Linked DNA regions of Lonchura striata. The protein of the gene in region 1 purifies or fractionates together with the protein of each later gene. This does not show direct contact. Links are inferred from orthologs where the notes say so. Each region holds a gene or a part of one and is shown in the gene's direction. Other genes may lie near its edges. The genes, in order: CUL4B, DCAF6, BRWD3 and GRWD1.

Evidence for each region.
Region 2: the proteins of CUL4B (region 1) and DCAF6 purify together in Homo sapiens (affinity purification with mass spectrometry; 6 studies listed by BioGRID and IntAct, with this or other methods). This does not show direct contact. The link is inferred for Lonchura striata from reciprocal best matches to the Homo sapiens genes CUL4B and DCAF6.
Region 3: the proteins of CUL4B (region 1) and BRWD3 purify together in Homo sapiens (affinity purification with mass spectrometry; 3 studies listed by BioGRID and IntAct, with this or other methods). This does not show direct contact. The link is inferred for Lonchura striata from reciprocal best matches to the Homo sapiens genes CUL4B and BRWD3.
Region 4: the proteins of CUL4B (region 1) and GRWD1 purify together in Homo sapiens (co-immunoprecipitation; 4 studies listed by BioGRID and IntAct, with this or other methods). This does not show direct contact. The link is inferred for Lonchura striata from reciprocal best matches to the Homo sapiens genes CUL4B and GRWD1.

What each region holds. Positions count from the first base shown.
Region 1 is NC_134616.1:9,129,913-9,137,726, reverse strand, and holds the start of CUL4B (cullin-4B), read left to right. Parts: upstream 1-4,800; 5' UTR 4,801-5,446; coding exon 5,447-5,981; intron 5,982-7,814. Other genes in the region: MCTS1 (malignant T-cell-amplified sequence 1), read right to left, coding at 1-28, 734-886, 1,352-1,362.
Region 2 is NC_134604.1:15,140,697-15,148,227, forward strand, and holds the start of DCAF6 (DDB1- and CUL4-associated factor 6), read left to right. Parts: upstream 1-4,518; 5' UTR 4,519-4,585; coding exon 4,586-4,679; intron 4,680-7,531. Other genes in the region: MPC2 (mitochondrial pyruvate carrier 2), read right to left, coding at 337-377, 3,712-3,817. UniProt on the Homo sapiens protein: Ligand-dependent coactivator of nuclear receptors. Enhance transcriptional activity of the nuclear receptors NR3C1 and AR. May function as a substrate receptor for CUL4-DDB1 E3 ubiquitin-protein ligase complex.
Region 3 is NC_134616.1:4,924,629-4,932,250, forward strand, and holds the start of BRWD3 (bromodomain and WD repeat-containing protein 3), read left to right. Parts: upstream 1-4,613; 5' UTR 4,614-4,741; coding exon 4,742-4,778; intron 4,779-4,829; exon of another isoform or gene 4,830-4,863; coding exon 4,864-4,922; intron 4,923-5,041; exon of another isoform or gene 5,042-5,086; coding exon 5,087-5,116; exon of another isoform or gene 5,117-5,186; intron 5,187-5,366; coding exon 5,367-5,426; intron 5,427-7,622. UniProt on the Homo sapiens protein: Plays a role in the regulation of cell morphology and cytoskeletal organization. Required in the control of cell shape.
Region 4 is NC_134640.1:2,324,927-2,331,985, forward strand, and holds the start of GRWD1 (glutamate-rich WD repeat-containing protein 1), read left to right. Parts: upstream 1-4,056; 5' UTR 4,057-4,165; coding exon 4,166-4,208; intron 4,209-7,059. Other genes in the region: carnitine O-palmitoyltransferase 1, muscle isoform, read left to right, coding at 358-459, 1,306-1,401, 3,075-3,167. UniProt on the Homo sapiens protein: Histone binding-protein that regulates chromatin dynamics and minichromosome maintenance (MCM) loading at replication origins, possibly by promoting chromatin openness.

The sequences.
Region 1 (7,814 bases):
GACAGTGAGGATTTCTATATGCTCATGACTGCAAGATTAAAAAAAAAAAATTTGAGAGCTACTCAGCCATTCTGTACTTTAAATACAGGATTTTGCTTTATAAAGTCCAGTCTATCTTAGCACCTGAGAATAAAAACAGTCAATTAGCAACAAAATTTAAAACTAAAAATATTATCTTTTTATATGACTTGTTCTTCAGCAGTGGTCTCCTGTTCACTTCTTCCCCCTTTGAGAAAAAAGAAACCTACTGACAAAATACACAAACTGCATTTCCTTGGCATTGCTTTTTGAATGCAATACAAAGAGTGGATAAGGAGAAGGATGCAGCAAAAATGTACCACCCTCTATTTAAAAAAAGGGAAAATAATCAAGATAATACATGGAAGCCTGAAAATACTACAAAATGTTACTGACGGGAATCCAAACAATTTTGTGCTTCCATGTCCATCAAGCTGAATGCTTCCCTTCAACAACAGGCTGGTCCTTGGAGAGACCCTGAATACACTGCACACTAGCTACTAGGAAGATTTTTAAGTTCCTCAAGCATCCTACTAGCATGTGCCTTTAAAGCAAAATGAGCACAAGCCAACTTTCTGGTTTGGCCATAACACGGACTATCTATTAAGAGATGATGGATGCCCATCAAAAGTGCTAGGTTTATCTACTGTACAAAGTAAACAAAGAAAGCCATCCTAGCACCTTGAAAGCAAAGTTTAAGAGAAGAGATACTTACCATCTTACTATTTTAACTGGATCTTTCTTTGGCATGATTTGGTTTAGCCATGGTTCAATAACAGGAAACTGGTCTATCAGTTGATTCTTGATACCTTTAATAACTGAAGTCTTCAGCTGGATACAGTTTGATACATTCTCCTTTTCATCAAATCTGTCAAATGAAAGCATTTTAGAAATGCATAATTTTCTGCATAAAATATGCATTTTTCAGCAGCTGTCTTCAGAAATGCTTATAAATTCACTATAAAAATCTAATAGCAGACTGACTGTCCAACTTTCAAATGCAGAAATTTCATGAAGCTTAAATTTGCCCCCTTGGAACACTTGGGCTGGGGGAAGGCGGGGCAGCCTGTCTTCATCCCTAAACTTTTTGTACGGCCACAGCACGTGTTTAGTCTCACACATTAAGCCCGGCACACAGCGCTATTTTATTCAACTCCGAGAGTACTCTGCTGGTACCACAAACACCCACAGCCCCGTTCCGATGCGAATCCTTCACGTCCACCGCAGCGCCGGGCCCTGCCCTGCCCTGCCCTTCCCTTCCCTTCCCTTCCCTTCCCTTCCCTTCCCTTCCCTTCCCCCGCGCCTCCCGCGGCCCCAGCCCGGCCGCACTCACTTCTTGAACATCCTGCGGGCGGGGGGCGCCGGGCGGGCGGGCGGGCCGGGGCCGGCGGGCACCCACAGCCTGGGCGCTGCTCACACGCGGCTCCGGCCGGGCCGTCCCTCCCTCCAAGCCCGCCGGAAGCGCCGCTCCATCCCCGCGGAACGGGCGGGGCCAGCCGGCAGCGCGGCGCGGCCCCGGCGCGGGCGCGGCCCCGGCGCGGGCGCGGCCCCGGTACCGGGGCCGCGCCCGCGCCGGGGCCGCGCCCGCGCCGGGGCCGCGCCCGCCCGCTGCCCCTTGCACAACTGCGTTGTTATTAACCTCCCACAGCAGCCCGGCGCCTGCTACTTACAGGCACGGCGCTGGTTTCCCAGGTAATGTATCGCTTTTTGGTAAAATAAGAAGAGCAAAGTGCTACTAGCTGCTGGCATTATTTAAACACAAAATACGTTTATCTGGAAAAAAACACAGCCATCTTCAAACTAGCAGAGCAGAAGCTATCGTCACGCCAGCTTCAGAGTAGGACACGAGATACTATCAACAGTATTCTGGGGGGAAAAATAGAGTTCTTGTCAAACAGCAGATACTGTTCCCGGCTAGGGAATCGGTCCCAGGTGACAGTACCACATCTTCAAAGTGGGGAGGAAGCAGAAACCTGGCTTCCAGAGAAGATCTCAGCTGCCAGGCAGACAGATGGATCTGGTGGAGTGTATCAGAATCAAATTAGGTTTTGTTTGGTGATGGCCGCCGCAATTGTGAATAGAAAACCATAGCAGACAGAATTTACCACACTGCTTTTTCACTCTCTGAGGAGCAGACCTGTGTTTGTTCTTTAGGCTGGTGGCTGCTACATAAACAGACATAGAGGTGATCACCCAGTTTCTTTTTAGTGTCATGGAAATGCCAACACTAGGATAAAGGAGAGGGAGGAGAGGATATAAAACATCAGGTTATCATTATGCTAACAACCGAGTTTCTTTTTTCCATACAAAACAATTTCATCACCTTTGATACTATAACAGGTAATTAAAACCTAATACTTAAAAGTTATATTTGCCAAAGTAAAATCAAGCATTATACATGGTATCATTCAAATAGTGCAGTACAGCTTTGGGAACAAACACACTAATAACTTTTTGAAAGTATAGGAATGAACTATGGCATTACATAAACAGTCAAGCACTTCACTTATGAATGCCACCTTCACCTACTTTGTAGCATCCCCAAAAATACTGAGTGATGATCAAGAATTCAGTTTTAACTGAACCACAGTGACACTGCTCATCCCCAGGATTAGAAAATGAGAATGGGAGTTAATCACACTGAAAAACTATTCCATACGTTATGGTGATCCTCAGAAAAACTTTCATCAAATAGTACTTAGCCATGCAAACAACCACATTTTTTAAAACTGTAATGAAAAATTCATCATATTCTACCTCAAGTGATAGAAACACAAGGTAAACTTCTACTCTTCTTGAGAAACACAGCACATCTCACTGAAGTCACCTGAGCCACCAGTTTCATGTCTGCCTAAAACAGCAAGATTAGGCCCAAATTTTCAAAAAATGCCTTTGTCAAGAGGAAGGTCTTACCTCTACACTTTTACTACCTTCAAGCAGTTGGACCATTGGTTCCCTTCAGGCTGAGCTAACCTTTAGTCTGGTCTCAACTTCTCCACCTTCTCTTCCAAATGCTTTTTGCTGGGGTAGGTAACTGCTCAGTCAATCTAAACATGCCTGTACAGAGGACTTCTGAAGAAGGCTCCAAGGACCTAGGCTGGACTTCATTAACACAGCTCTCAGTGTTACTGTTCAGCCTCAACACAAAAAAGCTGGAGACTTTCATCTGGTTGCAGAGTCACTTAAAAGTACCAAAATTTTAAAAGCATGGTACCTGGACAAGACTGACAAAGCAGGGGGAACATCCAGCAACTGTTCTGACAGAAACCACCCCTCAGGATCATGTGCTAAATAGAAAGGACTTAGGATTTCACTCCCCATAAGTTTTGGTAGAAAAGGGGGAAAATCCATCATACTTCTTCCTGGATCCCCAGAACTTTACCTTGCCTCCACCTGCTCTCTCACATCCAAAAGCTGAATATTCTAACTGATGGGACAAAGTCATTGACTGTCCCACCCCTGAATGATTGCATAGACAGCAACTTCAGGAAAAGGGACTCTTACTCATGTCTTTTTTATAAATCAAATCCTTTCAATGAACCAAGAATGTGTAGAAATTTGGCATCTCTTACATCTCTAGACCTCTTATCTATTTTGGCTTAAGTGAACATGACAGTTACTGGGGAACAGAGGAAAATTTTACAGCATACTCACATAACTTATTTACTTGGCAAACCTGTTTTTTTCTATTATATCCGACTTGGAATGCAATTTAGTAGCCTTGGGAACCATACAATCTCTTCTAAAGCCAGTCAAAGCCAGACTGAAGCTTTGTTTTGCTGGCGTTTTTTCAACTGGAAAAAGTGCTTTTCTACACATCACTAGCATGACATTCCAGGCCTCAGGAGTTGTCTGACAGTGACTCAGACATAAAACATACTCCAGAAGAGCTTTAGTGACATTACATTCCATGTACCAGTTTCTGTCAAGAGAATTAAGTCTGTGTTTTCCTATCCAACATAAAAGTGCCACTAGATTTTCCCCTGAGGAGCTGCCTGGTGTACAAGGTATGCTCTGGTGAAGGCCGTGGAGAATCTCCTGGAACAAAACCTCATCACTTGGCTTGTTGCTTTTTCCACAGCCATTTCTCAGCAGTGGTTGAACCCTAACAACATTCCTCAGGAGTTTACAGTCCCTTTGGCAACAGAACCACCAACATCAAAAAGGAGACTCCAAAGGCCCAGGACTTCTGTTCTTGTTTCTAAAAGTTACAAAATAAACAAAAGAAAAGCAAACCATAGACTGTAGCCCAGTGCAAGTAGTATGTATTAAAATCGTATCAAACAGCTGACGCTAAATTATTTATAAATAAGTGTAACAAAAAGCATTTCCAGACCAAGCTAACAGGCTTAGCTAACAGGCCCGGGCCTAGGCCGCAGGCTCCGGCGGAACGAGCAGACGGCGGCCGAGCCTGCGGCGGGGCCGGGCCGGGTGAGGCCGCCTGAGGCCGGGCGGGCCCCCGGAACGGGCCCCGGAGCGGAACGCCCCGGAGCGGCACTCCCCGGTCCCGCACTCCCGCCCCAGGGGCGGCCCCAGGCCGGCGCGGGGGGCACCGAGCCACGATCAGTTCCGGCGGGGCCGAGGGCGCCGGCGGGGCCGGAGGCGGGTCCCGGGGCGGGTCCCGGGGCGGGTCCCGGGGCGGGTCCCGGGGCGGGTCCCGGGGCGGGTCCCGGGGCGGGTCCCGGGGCGGGTCCCGGGGCGGGTCTCGGGGCGGATCCCGGGGCGGGTCCCGGGGCGGGTCCCGGGGCGGTCCCAGCGCTTCCCGGCCGCGCTTCCGTGCGCCGCGCCCCGTCATGCACGGCGGGCGGATGCGCCGCCATTTTTGCGCTCCCTCTGCCGTGCAGTGACAATAACAACCCGGCCGGGCCGTCCCCCCTCAGCGAGCGCGGGCACAGCGGAGAGGGGGGAGCGGGGCCGAGCGGGGCCGAGCGGAGCGGCCGCGGGCGGAGCGGGAGCGGGTGGGGCCAGGGGCTGGAGCCGAGGCCGGAGGGAGCCGCGCTCAGCCCTCCCCGCTGCTGCTCGGCGGAGACGAGGCGGCCGGAGCAGGAGGGGAGCGCAAGGAGAAGCCGGGGAAGCGGGCAGCCGTGGGGAATTCTGCAGCTGGAGAGGAGAACCGAAAGGAACTGGTGGGCGGCAGGAACGGAAACGCTGCGCTGGGAAAGGAGTAAAAGCAGAAAGGCAGCGCCAAACTACGGGAAGAACCAAAGTAATAAAGAAAAGGGAAGAGGAGATAAAGTGATTCCTCCGATAAAGAAAAACGCGAAGGAGAAGAAATACGGAAGGACTTCACTGATGAGAAGGAGGAGTTGAAAGACCCCCCACCCCCCCCCCGAGACAGTAAACAGAGACTGACTCTAAAACTCTCCCCCTCTTCTTTGTCACACCACAAGGATTTGATGCCCCTCAGCCTGTTCACTTCTGTGTGTTCATGTTTCCCACAGGTTTCTCTTCCCCCAACCCCCCAGCTGCAGCCCAGGAGGTCAGACCTGCCACTGATGGTAACACTAGCAGCAGCTCCTCCTGCAAGAAGAGAAAGCTAAATAACAGCAGCAACAGTAATTCCGAAAAAGAAGAATTTGATTCCATTTCCTCCTGCACCTCTTCTCCTTCCAAAAACACCTCCTCATCATCTTCCTCTGTCATCACCACTTCCTCGTGCTCCTCCTCAGGGGTTGCTTCCTCCAACCATCACCTCCAGAAGAAGCTGCGCTTTGAGGACTCCGTGGATTTTATTGGACTCGATGTGAAGATGGCTGAAGAGTCTTCTTCCTCCTCCTCCTCTCCTGCTGCCTCTTCTCAGCAGCAGCACCAGCAACAGCTTAAAAATAAAAGCCTTTTAATTTCGTCAGTGGCTGTGGGGCACCATGCAAATGGCCTGACCAAAGCTGCCTCCTCTACTGTTTCCAGTTTCGCCAACAGTAAACCTGGCTCTGCCAAGAAATTAGTGATCAAGAACTTTAAAGGTAACAGGCCATAATTTGTCACAACCTGTGGGGAGCTGACACTCGACTTCGCGATTTGTTTTCAGCCTGAAAGCCCAAATAGCCCCAGGTTTTGCAGGAATTGCTTTTCTGTGCTGAACATTTCCATATTTATGTAAAGGGGAATCATGATTTCTGATGTGTGCTTGCCTGGTCATGTACACATCCTGAGCTACACTTTGCTGCTTGGAATTATTTTTCAGACTCCATTCTTTCTCTTGAGAAGGCCTTCATTTGTATGTTAGGTGTAAGGTTTTACTGCCTAAGTGTTAAATTGCCTTTGTTTTAACATTTGATACCGTTGTTCTAGTAATTCTGATTCAGAGCTTAGTGTATATTTTAGCCCAGTTTATGATAAGCCTTTGCATAGAATGTGGGGGTTTTTTTAATTGGCCTTGAATCTGCATGTCTTATCTCTATCCTTGTTGTCTGTTTATAGGATAATCTTCATGTGCTTAGCTTTAAATGTTGAAACTAAGGTGATTATCGGGTTATTATGGTGGATTTCCTTTCAGGTTTCCCCACTTGCTTTTAAAGTAGATAGTTCAGATTTTTGCAGTTTTTTCCTTTTAATGGAAAGCTGTCATTTTTAATTGTAGTATCTTTCCTCTGTCTTAGCTTACTCTTACTTTAGAAGTTTACTTTATTTTATAAATTCTTTCCAAACACACATTTGAGATTTTTTAGTAGTGTTAGTAGAGACCAAGGTGAAGTAGAGAAATTAAACTTTTCTGATGTGATGCTGCTTTATTTTCTAGTAAACAAAAATACAAATAGGTAGGCAGAAAGCTTAGCTAAAATGCTGCCATTTTTTCCCTATGAAGATGAGGCGATCGTGAGCTTTTTTTATTTCCTGCTTCTTGCTGGCTTCCAAAATAGTCCACTACCTTGCTTTCCTGGCTTGTTTGCATTTTGGTTTGTGGAGGGGTAAAAGATATTACCGAAATTAAAATTAATTTTGAAATACACAATTGACACAAATCTTCTGTAGACATGTTGCATTAGGTAAGGATTAGTAATGGTTTTGCAGGAATTCATGATCACACTGTAACTCTTTGCTTTAAGGTTCCAATTCTCAAAAATGTTCTCCACCCATCAAAGCATCATAATTTAATTTGACTGATTATTTTAAAATACCAAGCTATGATGCATTATAGGCTGCTCTTCAGTTCCTTGTGCACTGTAATCTTTAAGGGAAGTTAACTTCTCACTTTTAAAATACCTGTTAAATGTCACGGATTGCATGGTACTGTGATCATTGCTTCTGAATGGGTATTTGAACCACTTGCTTAAAAAGGATGTTTTGGTATTCTGACAGCTTTGCTTTTTATTTATCTCAGATGCTAAACTGAATAACATTATTAAGATATTTGCCTTCTCTTAGTGTGATAACAATGACATCCTTTACAACTTAAATAACTTCGTAAAATCCATAACCTTGGTGTTGATTGCTCAGAGCATAGTCAGGAGTTGTTAGTGAAAATAGGCAAGTCCATGGTTAGTTGTCTCTAGATCCAGATCAGGCAGCTAATGTTTGGGATATTGCCAGTATTGTACAAAAATGCTTGGAAGAACAAAATAATTACTTCTCTCTTTTAATTATTTCTATGGAATTCGTAAAGTTTTAAAATTTGTTTTTTACTTGTAGGTGTGTAAAAGTCAATTTTAATAGAGTATAAACTCTGGGCCAGTTTCACCTGTTGGTAGCATGGATGTGCATATGTCATCTTCCTTCTCAGACTTTCTTCTTCTGTCTTCTCCATTTAGGAATGTCCTTATTAGAACAAAAATGGTCACTTTGGGTAGTTACAAGAA
Region 2 (7,531 bases), on another chromosome or scaffold:
TATCCGTATAAGATATTTCTCAAATTCCTCAATCTCAGAATAGACACATGCTTTATGAGTTTTGCATCATGCCTACCTTGAGCAACAGGTGGTGTTTCACAAGAGAACCCCAGTGAAAAGCACAATTCTTCCACAAAGCATTTTCCCCATGTTGTATCCCCTTCAGTTTGTGTTGTTACTAAGGCTAATTTTGTTCCTCCCCATATATTAAGAATTAGAGCCTCTTAATCTTTCTGCAGCCTCAAGTATCTGCTGGGAATCTCTTGCTTGCTCAGTGTGTTGCTGCAGGTTGCCCTGGGCTTGACACCCAGACACCAGCTGGCATCTTGTACTTACCCATTTCATGACAGGTGCCCAGAAAAACACTGTTTTGGGACCTGAGGGAGAATGGGAGAAAAGAAGTTAAATTACTTAGTAAGGTGTGGCTGTTTTAATAGCCACAGTAAGTTTGTTTTATTTTAATTGTTGTTTTTTTTTAATAATGAATTGTTTATATTAGAGTTTCTATTGCTGTACAAGCTCTAGCACCTAATACTCATAATTCATCACCTCAGTGCATCAACCTTCAGTTGTATAATCACTCCACACATTTCTGCAACAGTTGGACAGGATTTTTTATATCCATGTTTAAGCAACTGAGGACACTGGAGCAAGCAAAATGCATTTTTAAATTAAAGACTTAGGAAGAGTCCTAGGAATATGGAAAACACCCCAAAAATCTACCAGTAAGCAAAGGAGGATTTGGGGGAAAATGAGGAAATCTCAAGAAGGAAGGGAGGAAAATCCAATGGCATGGGACCTGGGGGAAAAACAACTCTCTTATGAATACTTGTGATTTTCAATGGTGCTAAAACAGCAACTGGTTGGTTAAAACAAAGCCCATGTAAAGCCACGCCTACAACTATGCCAGAAATCATTAATCTGGGACTTCTGCTCCAAGTCTTAAATGAGAGACCACAATTCAAATTACCAACCCCTATGAAACAGTCAGAAATTAACCTTTAGGTCACTGCTCAGCACACTGATAACATGCAAAATGAAGCCAAGTTTTCACTATAATATATTACATAGGAGTAACCACCAGGACTTTGGTTCCTGCTTTTTATGAGAGCTATTTCTTTCACTAATAATTCAGCCTTAAAAAGACCTTGCACTAACTACTTGTACTTCCAGTTTTAACCATCCTCAAGTTTAAAACTATGAATTGGGAAACAAAAACTGGCTTGGCAGCCTTGCATAAAGCCCTTTTTAACCCACCCAGCTTGTGATCAAGTTTCAAACTCCATTTAATAACTACAAGCACACTACTTTTTGTCTAATATTGTTGAATATTAGATAACAGCAGCTTAATGTTCATCCTTTAAAGATATAAACTTCAGCTGCTGTTCTCTTAGGCACTTACTTGGTGTGTCAGTATCAGGCTGCAAATACAGCTTGTTATAAATAAATCAGTCTTACAGAGTAGCTTTAATTACTAACATTTATCTTATTCTAAAAAGCAAATTCAGATTTGGAGTACCAGAGGATGTGGGATGAGTATAAATTATTAAACTGACATTCCCTAAACAGCTAGTATAGTTTTCAAGAAGACTGACATTAATTTTTATTAATAATAGAAAACTCAACCATTTCAAATTGATGACTGCAGAAATAAGAATTGGAGAGGGGGAAGGTACCAAACCAAGTTTGTAATTAGGGAAGACTGTTAAACACCTCTCCTTGGAGCACTCCAGCAAGCACCCAGCCTGGGTGAACTCTTCCCAGCTCCTGACATCCAGAATTTTTCAAGGATGAATACAACAGCAGCACATGAGAGCAGGGGAACACCAGAGGCTAATTTAGGTATCACATACATGACCAGTTTTATAGAATTTATGACTTCTATTAAACGTAAGAAGTCTTTGTGCTGAAAACTTGAGTTTAGTCAGGCAAAGTGAACCAGAGCAGCCAAAGGGGAGGGAGCACAAGCTCAGCCCTTGCTTTCCCATGGCAACCTGGGGAGTTGGTGTGCCAGGCCCTCCACTGTCCTCCAACAATGCCAGCCAAAGAAACAGTTTTTAACAGGCACCAATTCTTTTGCTGGAAGCTTTCTTTATGCCAGAAAGTGCTTCATGCCTCACAGGTGATTTATAATTTCATGACAATGACGCTTATATTCCTGAATTAGACTAGAGATTAAGATGTCACTGGAGATAAAAGAAAGTCTTTCATTTTTAACCCACTTTTTTTCCTGCAGAGTGACATCTATTGCATAACTTTCTCAAAGACACACCTTCAAGGCTAAAATAGAAGTTGCAGGGGTTCAGTTTCTATACTTGCTTGTGCTGTGACTTTTCTCACTTACACCATCAGTATGGATTATGACAGGTATATAACATATATATACACAAAGAATCCCTAAAAATGGATTTATTACTGACAACATTATGGTGATGACCAAGAGCGGCCCACAGGCAGTTTTGTGAAGTGAAAAGCACTGCAAGAGAACCTCCAAAACTTTCTCCAATTCCCACTACAGCTCTGTTGAAGAAGGAACATGGATGTTCCCAGCACTTGCTGTGCCTTGCATCCACTAAGAGTATCTGGAAGCTGTCACATTTCACACCAGTGGAATGTGTCTCTCAGTGTTGGACATACTGTCTCTTTATGTATAAAAGCAATACGCTAATGTTAAATATATTGGTCTAGTGAATTCAGTATAAATCAAACATTTTGAGGACTGCACTCTTCATCCTTTGTGATTCCTTTAGAACAACGATTTTCCTTCCAAGAAAGGGCCGTTGTAAGAGGATAGAGCAAGTGACTGCAAACCAAAGTCCATTTTCACAGTGCATATTCCTGGTAGGTGAAGAGTCAAGGATGCCTGTGACACTGACAGGAAACAGTGGGGACAGAGCCTATGGAATGCCAGGATTTTATCGGGCGCTCGTTTTAACAACCGACGCAATTTGTTTACATGACAAACACCACGTAGATGGCACTGAACGAGATCCTTTTACAGGAGGTTTCTCCCTAATAACACAACCCCCCACGTTTGCCCATGGAAAGGTAAACTGCAGGTCAGGTGAGGGGAGCTCATTCTTTACCCGCAGGAGTCCTCCAGCGAATTCACCAAAGGCATGAGCTGTCTTTGGTAGAAGCGTGGGATTCAGCAGAAAGGAAATAAAACCAAAGGCTGCCTGACTTGACCAGGGCACAGTTCAAGATCAGAAACCCTGGAAGTGCCCAAGGCCAGGCTGGATGGGGCTCTGAGTAGCCTGCTCTGGTGGAAGGTGCCCCTGCCCGTAGCAGCGGGTGGAACGGGATGATCTTTAATATCCCTTCCATCCCAAACCATTCCAGGATTCTATGATTTTTCCAGCACATCCTCTTGCAAGAAGCGGTTCCCGAGGCATCCAGGCCCCTTTAGACCCACGACATCCCCTGGGCCAGGCTCTGGCAGCCCAGGCGCTCCCTGGATCCGCCCCGCGGTACCGCGACAGTGACAGCAGCGCATCCATCCCGGAACCAGCCGTGCCGTGCCCGATTATCCTGCTCTCCCTTCAGGAGCAGTCAATTCCCCGTTACGGAGCAGGACTCCGCTCCAGGGCCGCCCTCCCGCGCCAGAAGCACCCGAACCGCGTTACTGCGGCCCCGCCCGTACGGAACACATCCCCCGCGCCACCATCCCCGCCGGTCCAACCGGGGGCCAAGGTGACCCGCGCCCATTACCCGCGGGGTGGTTGTAGAAGGGCCGGAACCGCGGCGGCAGCATGAGCTCGATGCGGTCCAGCAGGCGGTGGTAGGAAGCGCGGAGCCCCGCGACTGCGGCCGCCATGGCGAGGGACGGGGCGAGCGGGGTCCGAGTGGGGAGAGAGGGGCGAGCGGGCACCGAGCGGGGGCCGCGTCCCGTCCGTCCGTCCGTCCGTCCGTCCTCCGCCCGGGCCCCGCCCCCCGGGCCTGCCCGCCCGGCACTGCGCCCTGATTGGTCACCGCCGCAGGGGGCGGGGCGGGGCGGAGAGCTGCGCGCGCTGTTATTGGCTGAGCGCGCTGGGCCGGGCAGCTGGGGAGAGCTGGCGCGCCCGCCGCCCTCGGGAAGGGCACAGGCGCCCGGCTCAGAGATGGCGGCCGCTGCTTCGCTCTCCCCTCAAGATGGCCGCCGCGGGAGAACCCTGCGCTGCGAGTAATGCGCCCTAAGCCAAGATGGCCGCTTTGCGGCTTCACAGCGCTTCACTGGACGGGGCGGGTTTATTCCCGGCGGAGCCGAGCGCCCTGACGTCACCCTCCACGCCCACGACGCGCCCTCCCCTCAGTCGGGGCGGGGCGACGTCACCGGCTCGCGCGAGACGCCCATTAATCTCGGGCCTCCGTGCCCCCTCCCCGGCGGGCGTGGCCCACCGCGGCCGGGGTGGGCGTGGCCCCCGCGCGCGGTGGGCGTGTCCCGGAGCCGCCGCGCCCCTGGCTCGCGGTCGGTGCCTCGGCGCGAGGCGGGCGCGGGGCGCGCGCGCGGGGCCCGCTCGGCGGTTCCCATGGTGATCGCGCGCGCCCGGCCGGTCCCGGCGCACCCCCCCGGCTCGGCGCGCGCCCTTCCCGCCCGCGCGGGGCCATGTCCCGCGGGCGCTGCCCGCACCTGCTGTGGGACGTGCGGAAGCGGACCCTGGGGCTGGAGGAGCCGGGACTGCTGCGCAGGCACTACCTCGGTAAGGACCCGCGCTCGGCGGGGCGGGCGAGCTCCGGCCGTCCCGGGCGCCCACCGAGCGGGCAGGGGGCCCGGAGCCCCTTCCAGGCGCCGCCGCTCCCCCGCTCGGCCGCGCTGTCCCGCAGCTCCGAAGTTTCCTGTGCCGCGTGTGGGGCGGCGACACCTCCAAATCCACCCTCCGCGACCTCAGGGGCGGTCCGGGACACCCCGGCCCCATCCCTCCGCGCTGCCCGGGTGGCCTGGGGCCCGCCGGGACCCCCCGGTCCCTCGGTGCGCGGCTCCGCTCGCCCGCCGCGCCTGTTTCCCGAAGGAACTGTTGCACGCGGAGATCCAGCCGGGAAGTTGGGCGGCGGCTCAAAGCAGCTCCGGCGTCGGGCGTTCCGTGCCCGGGGCCGGGCAGGGTCCGGATTTACCGGCGCTGAGCTGCCGGCGGCTGGGAACAAAGCACGTAGACGCCTCCGGGGTGATGGCGCGGCCGCTGTCCGGCGGCCCGAGGTGTTGCCGGGCTCCGGGAGAAGCCGAGCCGCCGCCGGCGCTCGGCGCGGCCATCCCCCGCGCCCTGGTGTCCCCGAGCGCTCCGCGGGGTCCCCGCCGGCGGCGCGGCCCCGGCTGCCCCCGCGCCCGAGCCAGGCATTTGCACTTCCCAAGTTACAGCCAGCGCCACTTTTCCTCCCCGAGGCCGCGCTCGGCGTGAAGGAACTATCGATGTTTTTTGTCATGGCGCAGGTTTTGTCTAAACACGCTGCCAAAAAGTATTTTTAAACGCCGGTGTTTATTTCACGTGTTGTCGGAGGTGTGGCGATCCATCGTAGCGGCGCTGGGGATCTGGGGGTTGTCTCTCCGGGGTAGATGGCTGGGTGGGTCGGGAACGCGTTCTTTTGTGCTCGTGTGCCAAAACAATTCTTGCCTTGGAGTGGAAACCTCGAGTACTCGAGATGGAGCTTGATTTACAGCGTTGTAAAACGAGTGTCGATCCGTGTCTCCCAGGCTTTCCCGGCTGTGCTCGGTGGTGATGGTCTGTCGTTTGGGTTTTTCCTGGTGGAATTTAAGGTGGGATATCACATTACTGAGCCTAACTCAAGAGTTTTCTGCCTGTAGTCCCTGAGCGCTCAGTAATCCACAAAACGTTAATCGAGGAAATCAAGGTTATTGCTGTAGGTTTCTACCGATTGCAGAGAGGGGGGTGTGTCGGTGTGTGCCGTGCACAAGTCCCTTGGAAAGAAATTTTGAGTCCTAAAATAAAAAAATTGATTGAGAACTAACGATCTAGCTGCTTTTGATTTTGTTTAGTCTCAAGCTGTGCTTGGCCAAGCCTTAGCCGAGGATTGTTATAACTTTTAGTGATCAATCCTTCTGACTGGATTTTTTTTTTTTTACTTTTTGTCTGCTCCAGTTGGAGCAGAAAACCTCAATGTTAAAATGAGGACTGTAGTGTGCAGATTCTGAAGAAGTGCCTTTTTTTTTTTTTTTGGAAGAAGACCTTTGTTGGTTTTTTTCTTCAGCTTTTACATGGTTGTGTCTCTGAGAGTTGAAGTACTAAGATTCGAATAGTAGAAATCATCTTCCCAGACTTCCAAGATGTCTTTTCTGGATGCTACTCCAATAAAATGTTTCTAACTTTAGTTAAAACTATGGTGCCTTGGTTAAGGTCTCATATTTACTATTCTTCCTTTCACCTAAACAAGTTCAGTTGCTTGAGAGCCTTGAAAAAATAGGACCTGGGAGAGCCTTCCCACGGAATTGAAGTTGAGATCTGCATTGGTGGTGACAAGACATGCTCAGTCCGTACTGACTCCTGCTTTTCACCAGGGGGTTGGTACAGGGTGTGCTTGTCTTGTGGAACCACTGCACTTTTACCCAAATGGCGTTTATGGCCTTGATAAACCCACTGATTTGACTGCTAGTCAGGTGTGGTTGTTCAAGTGCAGATTTCCTAGAGAAGAGGCCTGTTGTGCCTTTTTGTGTGCAGGGCAGTGTAGGTGTAGGTCTTTTCTCTTTCAGACTTCAGCAGCTCTGTGTACGAGCTTTGTTCTCTGGCCCACTGGTCAAGACTGCCCTGGTCAGCTGGGTGCAAGTGCTTATTGGTCACTGCTGGTCTGATCTGCGTGGGAAGTAAGGCTTCTTCCTATTTATAATTTCTTTTTTTCAGTAGTGTTTCAACAGTCTGGCAGGCAGAACAAATGGAGGGCAGGAATTTCACTGTAACTTAGGAGTAGTGGGAGACTTGAGGCATTGTCCATGTGCATTTTTTTTTTTATTTGAGCAAATCTGTCTAAACAGTTATGGATTCAGGTACAAAATGAAGTAATTTATATGTCTCTTCTTTGCTTGCTGCACTTTTTCAGCCACCAAATGAAAGGAAAAGCATTACAGCAAGTTCATGACTAACAATGCAATTGGGAGGAAGATGTCTGTGTGGATGGTAGTTAATGAGCCCTTCACTGGGATGGTTGTGTTGTGCTACAGTGTAAAATATCAGAAATATCGACAGTGACCATGTTTTGAAGAAAGACATCTGAGAACTAATTGCTGTTTCCTATTTACTCGGTGTTTTAGTTTCATGTGAATTGGCAATCAAGTGGCACTCTATAAATAGCCTCTCTCAGCTTCTGAAAACAGCTGCTCCAGGAAGGGTCTGTGTAATGTACCTTTCCATGCAGATAGCTCACCCGTGGAATTTATGGCCTTGCGGAAACTCTCTCTGATTTTGCAAGATCTCTAAATAATTGCTTTGAAGTCCAGTCAGTTCTGGACAGAGTTTCAGAGAAACGACTCATGAAGATGGGGCTGTAGGTGCATCTGTGGGATGTATCCTTCAGCTGTTATGCTTTGGTGAGAACTCCTGCTGTGATG
Region 3 (7,622 bases), about 4.2 Mb from region 1:
TCTGGCACCATCTAGAGGAATGACTGGAATGATGCAGCAGAGAAATAAATATTAAATTATTAAAAATAGCAAAAAACCTGGAGCAGATCTTGTGTAATATCTAACAGCTATTTAGATAATATTTATCAGCTCTTGTCGAGGAAGAGAACCACGGGAAGGAGTGGGAACTTGGAGGTTTGTCCGGCAAAAAGAGGATGTTGGTTTGCACACACGAGCCCTGCACTCCAGCAACTGTAATTAGTACTAATTACTTTGCATCTCATTTATTTTTAAAAATAAACTATGATATCAAAATTTGAGGTTTCTCTATGTAAAGGTCTTAAGCTTGGACATTTCAATATTCATTTACTCATAACTGTGTAGCACAAGGCACCAACTCCTGAATTCCTTCTGAACAGCTCTTATTTTTGAATCAGCTAAACAAAATTTGGATTTAACTACTATCCATTTAGCTCCATATAAAAGGCCCAAGATGAGCAGAATGTTCATAAAAATCCTTGTGGGTTGCTTCCAACTCAGGGGTGTTCTATGAAATGTACACAGAAAATATATATTAAAAAAAAAATACTAAAATGTATCATTTGTTCCAGCGTTCAAATTCAGCTGGATTCAGGCATGTGCATCCTTATCTACATTTACTAGAAAGGTACAATGCATGTAAATCTACCACACATACACAATTCCAGTCTAAATTTTCTTTTTTTTTTAATTTTAACTGTACATTTCTGGTTATGCTAAACCACAGTTCTGTTTTCACACATGGTTAAAACAGGATTTGACTCATGAGGGCAGAATAATAATAAATAAAATAAAACCACCTTTACCTGGTTTTACAAGCTGATTGTGGGAAAGTTCGCTTAATTTTGTAGTAAAATTAAGCAGGGGTTGAATTTTACTTTTAACTGCAACTAAGAGCAAAACTCCCTAAAACACCAAATGGGGAGAAGCAATGGGTATTTCAATGTCATCAGTACCTACTCCTAAAATTCCTCAAAAACTTTCAGTTTTTTATTTATTTAAAGAGCAGTATGGAAAGAAACAGCTACAATCCAGCTTCTTCCTTAAAGCATCTCTGCTCCCGAATCCTTCTGTGGCTCATTAGTCTGTTCTCCCTCCTCCTGCCACCAGCTGCTGCTGGCATTTACATAACAGAGCTCTGCTCTGAGGAAAGATGAATCAGCACATCCATAAAATCCTGCTTTCACTCCAAGATTTACTATCACCCCCAGCATGCTGCTGCTTGGATGCAGAGGATCTGGAAAAGGATGAGTCATGGAGCTGCAGAATCCACGTGTGGTGTGGAAATGGAGCTCCTGGGGAAAGAGAGGATGGGCATTACTCACCAGACATGATTCCTGGAGGGGAAAACCCAGGAGAGGTGGGAAGAGGTATTGATAACAGCCCGTGTAGCAGGCTTGGGGAGTAATGAGGCAACTGGGAGAGCGCTAAGGAGAGGAAGCTGATGTGCCAAGGAGTCAGGAATGCTGGGAAGAGGCTCGGGAGTGACTGCACAGCAGCACTGTCCAGCCACAGCCAGGCCGAGGGAAGCTCCCTGTGAACTGTTTGGGAATGAGGAATGCTGGCTGTACCTGCCCCTGTGCAGGTTCCTGCACAGCAGTGCCCTGCAGCACACACGGGACACACCGGGGCCATTCCCAACACTCTCCCCTCCTGCTGATGCAAGAATCCATCCGAGCCACGATGTGGAGCAACACTGGCTGAGCACTGACCCGAGGCTGTGGACTGAGCACCAAGCAAGGAGCAGCCAGGCTCCCAGCTGGAATGCTGCAGGAAGGACACAAGCTTACTTTGGGAGCATTTTTTATCCCAGGCTTTTGAAAGCTCCTTTTAGTTACTGCAGAAATTCCCATGGGCTCTAGACAGGTCCAAACAGAACAATCCTGCCTGGTGGTGCTGCAGCTTCTCCTGTACCACCCCCAAGCTCAAATAAAAGCATATCATGAGTGGAGAGATTCAGTAAGGCACCAAAAGGTGCCAAGGAAATGCCACATTCCTAAAAAAATACAGAATCACGGAATCCCAGAATGGTTTGGGTTGGAAGAGGCATTAAAGCCCATCCACCCCCACCCCTGCCATGGACAGGGACACCTTCCACTATCCCAGGTTGCTCTAAGTCCCATGCAACCCAGCCTTGGACACTTGCATGGATGGGGCAGCCACAGCTTCTCTGGGCGCTCTGTGTCAGGGCCTCTACACCGTCACAGGGCACAATTCCTTCCCAACATCCCATCTAACCCTGCCCTCTGGCAGTGGGAAGCCATTTCCTCTTGTCCTGGCACTCCAGGCCCATGTGGTCTCTCTCCATCTTCCCTGTGGGGTCCCCTCAGGCACTGGAAGGCCACAGTTAGGTCACTCTGGAGTTTCTCTTCTCCAGGCTGAACAATCCCAATTCTCCCAGCCTCTCCTCGCAGCAGAGCTGCACTAGCCCTCTGACCATCTCGGTGCCTCCACTGCATTTGCTCCAACAACTCCAGGTCCTTCCTGTGCAGGGCTGGAGGCAGCTCTGCAGGTGGGGGTCTCACCCAAGCACGCATGTGGAGCTGTTGGCACTGAAATGCACCAGGACATGGTGCTGGCCAGTATTTATGGGGCTGATTTTCCCTTGACGTGGAATTCTGATCAGCTCAGGATGATGAATTTGTACTTTCAAGGCATATTATGAAACATCATCCGTGTTTTCTCCTTTGCCTTCCCATCACGCATGAAAAGATGAGCTTGCAGTTCTGGGCTCTGAAGGCAGGTGGGAGAAACATTCTCCTCCGGAGAGTGGGATCAGTGTGTGCTTCTCCTGGCTGGGAGCTCATTCTGGGAACAGCAGTTTCACCCTCTCCTGGGAAGCTCTGCAGCTTTGGAGCCTCTGGGGTTCTGCTGGGAAGCTGGGAGAGCTGTTACTACTGGAAAGCCACTGGAATTTGCAGCTTGGTGAGGTGGCACCTCTTGTCTGTCCACTTATGCGCTGAGCCATGAACCGGCCCTGAAAACATTCCAAGAGTAATTGTTTGGAGCCTACCAGAAAAGTGGAAAGGGACTTGGGACAAGGGGAAATGGCTTCCCACTGCCAGAGGACAAGGTTAGGGGGGGTATTTGGAAGAATTTTTTATTGTGAAGGTAGGGAGGCCTTGGCACAGATGCCCAGAGAAGCTGTGGCTGCCCCTGCATCCCTGGAAGTGCCCAAGGCCAGGCTGGACGGGGCTTGGAGCAGCGTGGGGTAGCAGAAGGTGTCCCTGCCATGGCAGGGGGTGGGACTGGATGAACTTTAAGGTTCCTTCCATCAAACCATTCTGTGATCCTATCAACAGTCACCGAGAACTCAAGAACTTTAGAGGATGACGAGGAGGAATCAGGGTCCACTCATCAGCCAGTTAATCCAAGCTCCTGGCACAAAACACCTTCCACAGGTGGATGAAGGGACAGGTGAATACAGGCGAATTATGTGGAGCAGCCTAATGCCAAATCCCCAAATCCTTCTCCCCAGATTGGCTGGGTGCCTGAAGGCATTCTGTGGAGCTGCCAGAAGGAAGGACTGCATCCTGACTGCACAGCAAAACTCTGAGCCACTGCTCCACAGCAAACCCAGTCCTGAGCAGCTGCGCTTAAACTAAATTTATTCTTAATATTACCAGAGCATTGACTCACAGTGATTCAGCTCTCGGTATTCCAGGCATGAGGAGAGGCTGTCCTTGGCTATTCCACAATGACAGTGGCTTTTACACTGGAGTTCTAACACCAAATGTCACGTACTTTAGATAAAATACAATCACTTGATGTGTTTTAGCAACTCCTCGCTGAAGTGACACCGATTTCAGAAGCTGTGACGGGACGCATCCCATGGAAAAATATTTATTTCCATTAGGACGATCTACTCTAACCCTGACCCCTTTGTTCCTTGGAGAGAACAGGTGCTGCATCCATCATATCGGAATTTCCTGGCCACTGGGAGCAAACACTTTTATTTAACTCCTAAGGTCACCCCAACCTGAGACACTTCCCTGCAGCCAGGCCTTGTTTACCGGGAGCCCGGAAGGGCTGTCCCTTCCCCACCGCGCAGCCCGGGCTCCATCCCCCTCCCCTTGCCAGGACCCCTAAGGTTCCTGAATCCCTTCATCCTCTTAAAAACTGCTTCACTAGCGGCACACACGGGGCTCCACTTCCCAGGAGCTTCCAGGCAGGAGGCCAGGAGCACTGAGCCGAGCACACTGCGGCCGTGAGGGCCGGAGCCGTGAGGGCTGAGGCAGGGACACCCGGGGAGCGCCGAAGCCGCGAGGCCAGAGCCGTTAGCGCTCCCCCGTGACGCCTACCGGGCCCTCCGAAGCACGGCCCGGCGCAGCGCTGCCCCGTGACGGCGGCCGAACGCCCGGGGAGATCGCGGCCCGGCGGCCCGGCCCTTCCTCCTCCTCCCCTTCCTCCTCCTCCCTCAGCCGCCGCCCGGAAGTGGCGCGCGCCCCCCCGCGGCGCGTGCCCGCCCCGCCCTTCCTGCGCCCCCCCGCCCGCCCGCCGCTGCCGCGCGCGCCCCCCGGCGGCGGGCGGCGGCGGTGCGGGCGGTGCCGGCGGCGCTCGGTCCGCGGAGCCGCGATGAGCCCGGGCGGGACCCGCGCCCGCACCCGCACCGGGACCCGCGCCCCGCACCGGCACCGCCGCTCCGGCATGGGGCTGCGCCCGCACTAGGAGCCGAGTCCCCCCGGGGCGCCATCCGCCACCTCCCCTCCCCCTCCCGAGGAGGATGGCGGCGGCGGCCGCCCCGACCCAGCTGGAAGCCGGTGGGTATCGCTGGCGGCGGGGGCTGCGCTCCGCACCCCCTCCGTTCTTACCGTGTCTAACCCGCTCTCTCCCGCCTCTCCGCAGAGCTCTACTACCTGATCGCACGGTTCCTGCAGTCCGGACCCTGCAAGAAATCCGCCCAGGTGAGCGCGGAGCCGGCGCTCCGGCCGGGCCGGGCGGGCGGCGACGGGACGGGACGGGACGGGACGGGACGGGACGGGACGGGGCGGCGGAGCCGCTGCGCTGCGGCCGCCGGACTCACGTCCTTTGTGTGTGTCTGTGTGTCTGTGTGTCCCTCTGTCCCCAGGTACTGGTAGAGGAGCTGGAGGAGCACCAGGTGAGGCGCCTGCCCCGGCGGGACGGGGGAAGCCCTCGGGACGGCGGGGTCGGCGTTTGCCCTGCCCCGTCTAACCCAGCCCATCTCCGCCCGGGACACCCGGCGGGAGCGCGGCTGCCCCGCGGCGCGGCCGGGGCCAGCGGCCGGGGGGGCTCCATCCCGGGGGGCGCGGGCGGGCACCGGGGGCGCTGCCCAGGGAGGGGTCGCTCGGGCTCTGACGGCCGCCCCCGTCCCCGTGTCCCTTCCGCAGCTCATCCCGCGGCGCCTGGACTGGCAGGGCAAGGAGCACCGCCGGAGCTTCGAGGACCTGGTGAGACAAGTTTCACTCCTGACTTTTCCGACAACTTCCCTCCGCCCCCCGCGCCGCCGCCGCCGCACCGGGCGCCGCGTCCCCCCCTCCGCCCCGTTTGTGTGTCCCCCCCCCATAAGCGCGGCGGGCTGCGCCCCGCCGAGGCCGCGGCGGGCCGCGGAGTGCGGAGCGGAGGGCAGGGCAGGGAGCGGAGGCGCGGCGGGGCCGGGGGCCGCCGGCGAGACCCCCGTGAGCCGCCCGGTGGCACCGGCGGAGCGGCCGCGCCGCGCTATTGTGGGGCCGGGGGTTATCCGAGGGCACGCACCGGGGCCCGGCGCGGCCAATGGCGCCGCGCCTTACAACGCGGAGAGCGGTGCGCGGCGATGTGAGGCGGCAGCTGATTGGCTGCGGCGGCGCCGCGGCGGAGCCGGCGGGGCGGGGGGCGCGGGGCGCGGGTCCCCCCGGCTCCGCCGCTCCATCGCCGCCGGCCCCGGGGCTGCCCCGCTGCGGGCCGGGCTCGGCCGCTCTCCCGCAGCCCGGCGGGGGGGACGTGCCGGACGTGCCGCCGGGCCCGGCGCTGCCGGGCTGGGTCAGGGATTCCCGGCCTGCGGCGGCCTGCGCGAAACCCGCCCCTCTCCGCGGTGTCTGGGCCTGCTGTCAGGCAGGAAAGGAGGGGTTAGGAAGTGTGGTGTTGTGGCTGTTAAATGCCCGTGAAATGCACGGGGTGGCTGCTGTTGCTGGGTGCGAAACCCCATGAATGTGTGTCATTGAGGAAGGTCAGTCCCTCCGCAAGGCCGGCGGTGGGAGGTGGCCCTTGGCCCCGCGCCCCCCGGGACGTGTCTGTGAAAGCGACAACATTAAAGCCCTTCCAGTCCTTTTCCAAAGGGCCCAGGCGGCCTTGATTTCATTTCTGGGAGCTGTGGGCAATGACGTGTGGCGCTGATGTAGCACTCTGCAGTTGGAAGGCTGTAAACTTCCCCACAGCGCTTGTGGCGCTGATACCTGTGCCCAGCGCTGGCAGCTCACCTGGAAGGAATGGGAAGCACGTCCTGGCCTCTCCCGGCTCCGTGGAGCAACAGTGACGTGGGATTTTGCCGTGACTCTTGCTCAAACTCCTCTGCATCTGTCTCCACTTTAGCAACATTGTAGGAGCTCAGGTGTGGACAGAACTCCTTGTGCCCAGAGGAGACCTTTGGTGCCGCTGCCTTTCCCTTTCTAAAGCCTGTTCAGAATTTCAGGTGGAAGCCGGGCTTCCTCATACCTCTGGTGGATAATTCTGGCACTGTAAATTGAGTGAACAGACATAAAGTTCTGCAGTCAATAAATTTTGGTGCTCTGTGGTCTTCTTGAGAATCTGAAATCTAACTGGGCTGTCTCAGGTTTAACGTGGGACTACACCCAATATCCAGGAGGAATATTAGCAGTGCCACTATGAGGTCTGGTGTCAGAGTGGTTTTGCCTATCACTTTGATTAACATACACTTTTTTTCTATTTATTCTCTGTGGCACAGATATAAAAGCCTTGAAACCTTAAAATCTTTTTTTAAATGTGTGTTTGAACATGTTGAAACGTACTTTTCTTTAACATTTCAGAAACTGGAGAAAAACCGTTTTGAAGTGAGTTTTGGAGTTAATGGGAAATTTCTTATTTCTGTATAAACTAATATCGTAATTAAATTTAAGATTTTTTTTGTCTTAAACTAATCAGCACTAATCGATGCTTTTAGTTTGCCCTTTTATATAATATTATTTAACTTTTTCTCATGGTTTACAGTAAGGACCAGGATTATAAATGAATCCTTACAGTGGGGCAGGTTGATGCCAGGTGGGATGAGCTGAGTTTCTGTCTGTGAATCCTCAGAATGTTAAGGATGTTGAAGAAAGGCTTTTTCTCCCTCATTGCTTAGGGTTTGCTGTGTTTGGAATTTGGACTTTTGGCTGCATATGATTGTTTATTAACCTGAGCCCCTCGACTTCAGGGCTGGCTGGATGTCTGAATGCAATGATCAGAACAGAACCAGGGTTGTGAAGGACACAAAGCACTCCAACCTTCATTTTAATTATCTCAGGCACATAATGAACCCAAATTAAATTGGAGGTGCCAGCAGTTGGAGGTAAACGGGTTTTTTCTATCCTTTTCTACTTTTTACAGCCAGAAACCCAAAATCGTTTACAATCTCAGCTGGGTGGTGCAGCTACTCTGGTCAGGCAGGTAAT
Region 4 (7,059 bases), on another chromosome or scaffold:
ATTACCATATAAGGATGTGGGTGGGGCTTGGGTGTTAATTACCATATAAAGAAGTGGGTGTGTGTAAATTACCATATAGAGAAGTGGGCGTGGCTTGGTTATTAATTACCACATAAGGAAGTGGGTGTGGCATGAGGGGCAGGTTTTGTTTAAAAGGGGGCGTGTCCTCAACCAGGAAGGGTGTGGCTTGCATAAAATTGCCTTATAATGAGGTGGGTGTGTCCAAGGAGGGCGTGGCCTGACTTCATCTGGCCAATGAGGCGTTGCCACCCGAGGGCGTGGCCTGACGAGCGTCACCGCGATTGGCCGGCGCGTTGGGTGTGGCTGCCGGCCTCATTTGCATGTCCCCGCCCCCAGGTGCTGGGGCAGCCCTGGGCTCTGGCCTTTAGCCCCGCCCCCCGGCCACACCCACCGCTGCTGCCCCTCCCCCTGCGGCCGGCGGGGGGCGGCTTCAACCCGGTGTGTACTGGGAATAAACTGGGAGGGACTGGGAGGGACTGGGAGGGGCTGGGAATAAACTGGGAGGGACTGGGAGGGGCTGGGAGGGATTGGGAGGGAACTGGGAATAAACTGGGAGGGACTGGGAGGGGCTGGGAGGGATTGGGAGGGAACTGGGAATAAACTGGGAGGGACTGGGAGGGGCTGGGAGGGACTGGGAATAAACTGGGAGGGGCTGGGAGGGAACTGGGAGGGACTGGGAGGGACTGGGGGGGAACTGGGAGGGACTGGGGGGGAACTGGGAGGGAACTGGGAGGGAACTGGGAGGGATTGGGAGGGACTGGGGGGGAACTGGGAGGGATTGGGAGGGACTGGGGGGGAACTGGGAGGGATTGGGAGGGACTGGGGGGGAACTGGGAGGGAACTGGGAGGAACTGGGACGGACTGGGAGGGACTGGGAATAAGCTGGGAGGGACTGGGACGGACTGGGAGGGAACTGGGGGGGACTGGGAGGGGCTGGGAGGGAACTGGGAGGGGACTGGGGGGAACTGGGAGGAACTGGGTTGAACTGGGGGTTACTGGGTTGAACTGGGATGGACTGGGATGGAACTGGGGGTTACTGGGATGGAACTGGGGGTTACTGGGTTGAACTGGGATGAACTGGGATGGAACTGGGATGAACTGGGATGAACTGGGTTGAACTGGGATGAACTGGGATGGACTGGGATGGAACTGGGGGTTACTGGGATGGAACTGGGGGTTACTGGGTTGAACTGGGATGAACTGGGTTGAACTGGGTTGAACTGGGTTGAACTGGGATGGACTGGGAGGACCTGGGGGTCCCTGGTGCTGACTGGGCCCCCCCAGCCCCACCAGGACGGTTACGGGGTTTCCTTCACCGGGGGAGGGGACGCCGGCCCCGTCCTCGTCCACATCTCCTGCAGGGAGGGGTCCCCGAAAACGGTGAGTGAGGGCTGGCCAAAAATCCCCAAAATCCCCAAAACCTCCCCAACACCCCCCCAAAAAAACCCGAAAACATCCCCCCAAAAATCCCCAAAAACCCCAAAACCTCCCCAACACCCCCCAAAAAAACCCGAAAACATCCCCCCAAAAATCCCCCAAAACCTCCCCAGCACCCCCCAAAAAAACCCGAAAACATCCCCCCAAAAATCCCCAAAAACCCCAAAACCTCCCCCAACACCCCCCCAAAAAAACCCGAAAACATCCCCCCAAAAATCCCCAAAAACCCCAAAACCTCCCCAGCACCCCCCAAAAAAACCCGAAAACATCCCCCCAAAAATCCCCAAAATCCCCAAAACCTCCCCAACACCCTCCAAAAAAACCCGAAAACATCCCCCCAAAAATCCCCCAAAACCTCCCCAACACCCCCCAAAAAAACCCAAAAACATCCCCCCAAAAATCCCCCAAAACCCCAAAACCTCCCCAACACCCCCCAAAAAAACCTGAAAACATCCCCCCAAAAATCCCCAAAAACCCCAAAACGTCCCCCAACACCCCCCCAAAAAAACCCGAAAACATCCCCCCAAAAATCCCCCAAAACCCCAAAACCTCCCCAGCACCCCCCAAAAAAACCTGAAAACATCCCCCCAAAAATCCCCAAAAACCCCAAAACCTCCCCCAACACCCCCCCAAAAAAACCCGAAAACATCCCCCCAAAAAACCCAAAAACCACCCCCCACAAAAATGCAAATCCTGCCCCAAAAAAACCCAAAACCTCCCCCAAAGTCCCCTAAAAAAACCCCAAAACCTCCCCCAAACCCCCCAAAAAAACCCCAAAACCTCCCCCAACACCCCCCCCAAAAAAACCCGAAAACATCCCCACAAAAAAAACCCAAATCCTGCCCCCAAAAATCCCAAAACCTCCCCCCACCCTTCCTGGGCTGTATTTTGGGTGTATTTGGGCTGTATTTTGGGTGTACTTTGGGTGTATTTTGGGTGTTTGGGCTGTTCTTGGGTGGTTTTGAGCTGGTTTTGGGGTGTATTTTGGGGTGTTTTTGGGCTGTTTTTGGGCTGTTTTGGGGCTGTTTTTTGGGTGTGTTTTGGGCTGTTTGGTGCTGTTTTTTGGGTGTATTTTGGGCTGTTTTGGGGCTGTTTTTTGGGTGTATTTGGGGCTGGTTTTGGGCTATATTTTTGGGTGTATTTTGGGCTGGTTTTGGGCTGTTTTCAGGCTGTTTTTTGGATGTATTTTGAGCTGGTTTTGGGCTGTTTTTTGGCTGTATTTGGGCTGTTTTCGGGCTGTATTTTTGGGTGTATTTTGGGCTGTTTTTTGGCTGTATTTGGGCTGTTTTCGGGCTATATTTTTGGGTGTATTTTGGGCTGTTTTGGGGTGTATTTGGGCTGTTTTCGGGCTGTATTTTGGGGTGTATTCGGGCTGTTTTGGGCTGTATTTTGGGTGTATTCGGGCTGTATTTGGGGTGTATTTGGGCTGTTTCCGGGCTGTATTTTGGGTGTATTTTGGGCTGTTTTGGGCTGTATTTGGGCTGTTTCCGGGCTGTATTTTGGGTGTATTCGGGCTGTATTTGGGGTGTATTTGGGCTGTTTCCGGGCTGTATTTTGGGTGTATTCGGGCTGTTTTGGGGTGTATTTTCGGGTGTCCCTGACCCCTGTGCCCCCAGGACCCCCGGCTGTTCCTGCGGCGCCTCCGCGCGGCGCTGGCGGAGCTGCGGCAGCTGCGGGGGGGGGAGGGGCCGCCCCTCCCCCCCCAATAAACGGCTGGGACCGAGCAGAGCCGGACTGGGCAAACTGGGACGGACTGGGGGGGACTGGGAGCACTGGGAGGGACTGGGAGGGACTGAGAGGGAACTGGGAGGGAACTGGGAGCACTGGGAGGGGACTGCGGGGGACTGGGAATGGGGCTGGGGGGGACTGGGAGGACACTTGAGGTCACTGGTGTTACTGGGAGTCACTGGGAGGTTACTGGGGGGGTCAGTGGGAGGTCACTGGGGGTCACTGGTGTTACTGGGAGTCACTGAAAGGTTACTGGGGGGTCACTGGGACTCACTGGTGTTACTGGGGGTTACTGGTGTCACTGGTGTTACTGGGGGGGTCACTGGAAGGTCACTGGGGGTTACTGGGGGTCACTGGGGGGGGTCACTGGGAGGTCACTGGGGGTTACTGGGGGTCACTGGGGGGGGTCACTGGGAGGTCACTGGGAGGTCACTGGTGTCACTGGGAGGTCACTGGGAGGTTACTGGGGAGGTTACTGGTGTTACTGGGACTCACTGGGAGGTCACTGGTGTTACTGGGAGGTCACTGGGAGGTCACTGGTGTTACTGGGAGGTCACTGGTGTTACTGGGACTCACTGGGAGGTCACTGGGAGGTCACTGGTGTCACTGGGAGGTCACTTGGAGGTCACTGGGAGGTTACTGGTGTTACTGGGACTCACTGGGAGGTTACTGGGGAGGTTACTGGTGTCACTGGTGTTACTGGGACTCGCTGGGAGCGCTCGCCCGCCATCGCCTGTCACGTGACCGGAAGCCGCCACCCATCACCCGGAAGTGGGCGCGGCTCCCGCCGGAAGCGCCGCCTCCCCTCGCGGCCAAGATGGCGGCGCGGCGCGGCGCGTCCCGAGCCCGGGCCCCGAATCGCGTCAGGGCCGCGAACCGCGACCGGGCCCGGGCCCGGGATCGGGCGGAGGCGGAGCGGCCCGGCCGCGTGTACGTGCCCGGGCAGGGGCCGCCGCTGCGGCCCGACGAGGAGCTGGTGATGGATGAGGAGGCGTACGTGATGTATCACCGCGCCGGCACCGGTACCTGCTGCGGGCGGGGGGAACGGGGGATGAGGGGAAGCGGGGGATCCTGAGGGGAAGCGGGGGATGAGGGGAACGGGGGGATGAGGGGAAGCGGGGGATGAGGGGAATTGGGGGGGGATGAGGGGAATTGGGGGGGGATGAGGGGAACGGGGGGATGAGGGGAAGCGGGGGATGAGGGGAAGCGGGGGATGAGGGGAAGCGGGGGATCCTGAGGGGAACGGGGGGATGAGGGGAACGGGGGGATGAGGGGAAGCGGGGGATGAGGGGAACCGGGGCATGAGGGGAAGCGGGGGATCCTGAGGGGAACGGGGGGATCCTGAGGGGAACCGGGGGATCCTGAAGCGGATGGAGAGGATGAGGAGAAGCGGGGGATCCTGAGGGGAAGCGGGCGGATGAAGGGAACTGGAATGAGGAGAAACCGGGGGAATGAGGCGGCTGGAGGGGATGAGGGAGCTGAGGGGAATCGGGGAGATGAGGGAAACCGGGAGAATGAGTGGAACTGGCGGTCCTGAGGGGAAACCGGGTGAGGGGAACCGGGGAATCCTGAGGGGAACCGGGATGAGGGGAAGCGGATGGGGATGAGAACTGGGGGATCCTGAGGAGAACTGGGGGATCCTGAGGGGAACTGGGGGATCCTGAGGGGAACCGGGATGAGGAGAACTGGGGGATCCTGATGGGAACTGGGGGATCCTGAGGGGAACTGGGGGATCCTGAAGGGAACCGGGATGAGGGGAACTGGGGGATCCTGATGGGAACTGGGGGATCCTGATGGGAACTGGGGGATCCTGACGGGAACCGGGATGAGGGGAAGCGGATGGGGATGAGAACTGGGGGATCCTGAGGGGAACTGGGGGATCCTGAAGGGAACCAGGGAATCCTGAGGGGAACCGGGATGAGGGGAAGCGGATGGGGATGAGGGGAACCGGGGAATCCTGAGGGGAACTGGGGGATCCTGAGGGGAACTGGGGGATCCTGAGGGGAACCGGGGAATCCTGAGGGGAACTGGGGGATCCTGAGGGGAACTGGGGGATCCTGAGGAGAACTGGGGGATCCTGAAGGGAACCAGGATGAGGGGAAGCGGATGGGGATGAGAACTGGGGGATCCTGAAGGGAACTGGGGAATCCTGATGGGAACTGGGGAATCCTGAGGGGAACTGGGGGATCCTGAGGGGAACTGGGGGATCCTGAGGGGAACTGGGGGATCCTGAAGGGAACCGGGATGAGGGGAACTGGGGGATCCTGATGGGAACTGGGGGATCCTGATGGGAACTGGGGGATCCTGACGGGGGCTGAAGGGGCTGAGGGAAAGCAGGGGATCCTGAGGGGAAACCGGTGGTCCTGAGGGGGCTGGAGAGGATGAGGAGAACCGGGGGATCTTGAGGAGAACCGGGGGATGAGGAGGCTGGAGAGGATGAGGAGAACCGGGGGGATGAGGGGAACTGGGCTGAGGAAAATCCGGGGGATCCTGAGGGGGCTGGAGGGTCCGGAGGGGAAACCAGTGAGGATGAGGGAGCTGGAGGGGCTGAGGGGAGCCGGGAGATGCTGAGAGAGGTTTTTGGGGGATTTTGGGGGGGATTGGGGAGGTTTGAGGGAGGATCTTGGGGGATTTTGGGGGGGTTTGGGGAGGTTTGAGGGAGGATATTTGGGGGATTTTGGAGGGGGTTTGGGGAGGTTTGAGGGAGGATATTTGGGGGATTTTGGAGGGGGTTTGGGGAGGTTTGAGGGAGGATCTTGAAGAGGTTTGAGGGAGGACTTGGAGAGAATTTTGGAGGAGTTTTGGGGAGGATTTGGGGGGGAGTTTGGGGAGGTTTGAGGGAGAATTTTGGGGGGTTTTGAGGGGGGATTTTGGAGGGGTTTCGGGGAGGGTTTGAAGGGAAGATTTGGGGAGGTTTGAAGGAGGATTTTGGGGGTTTTGAGGAAGGATTTTGGGGGAATTTCAGAGAGGTTTTGGGGGTTTGAGGAAGGATTTTGGAGGGAATTTCAGAGGGGTTTGAGGAAGGATTTTGGGGGATTTGAGGGAGGATTTTGGGGGAATTTTGGAGATTTTTGAGGGAGGGCTTGGAGGGAATTTCAGAGGGGTTTTGAGGAAGGATTTTGGAGGGAATTTCAGTGGGGTTTTGGGTTTTGAGGAAGGATTTGGGGGGGGTTTTGAGGAAGGATTTTGGAGGGAATTTCAGAGAGGTTTTGGGGGTTTTGAGGAAGGATTTTGGAGGGAATTTCAGAGAGGTTTTGGGGGTTTTGAGGAAGGATTTTGGAGGGAATTTCAGTGGGGTTTTGGGGTTTGAGGGAGGATTTTGGGGGAATTTCAGAGAGGTTTTGGGGGTTTTGAGGAAAGATTTTGGAGGGAATTTCAGTGGGGCTTTGGGGTTTGAGGGAGGATTTTGGGGGAATTTCAGAGAGGTTTTGGGGGTTTTGAGGAAAGATTTTGGAGGGAATTTCAGTGGGGTTTGGGGGTTTGAGGGAGGATTTTGGGGGAATTTCAGAGACGTTTTGGGGGTTTTGAGGGAGGATTTTGGAGGGAATTTCAGTGGGGTTTTGGGGTTTGAGGGAGGATTTTGGGGGAATTTCCGAGAGGTTTTGGGGGTTTTGAGAAAGGATTTTGGAGGGAATTTCAGTGGGGCTTTGGGGTTTGAGGGAGGATTTTGGGGGAATTTCAGAGAGGTTTTGGGGGTTTTGAGGAAGGATTTTGCAGGGAATTTCAGTGGGGTTTTGGGGTTTGAGGGAGGATTTTGGGCAGGTTTTGGGGGATTTGAGGGAGGATTTTGGGGGGGTTTTGAGGAAGGATTTGGGGGGGTTTTGAGGAAGGATTTTGGAGGGAATTTCAGTGGGGTTTTGGGGATTTGAGGAA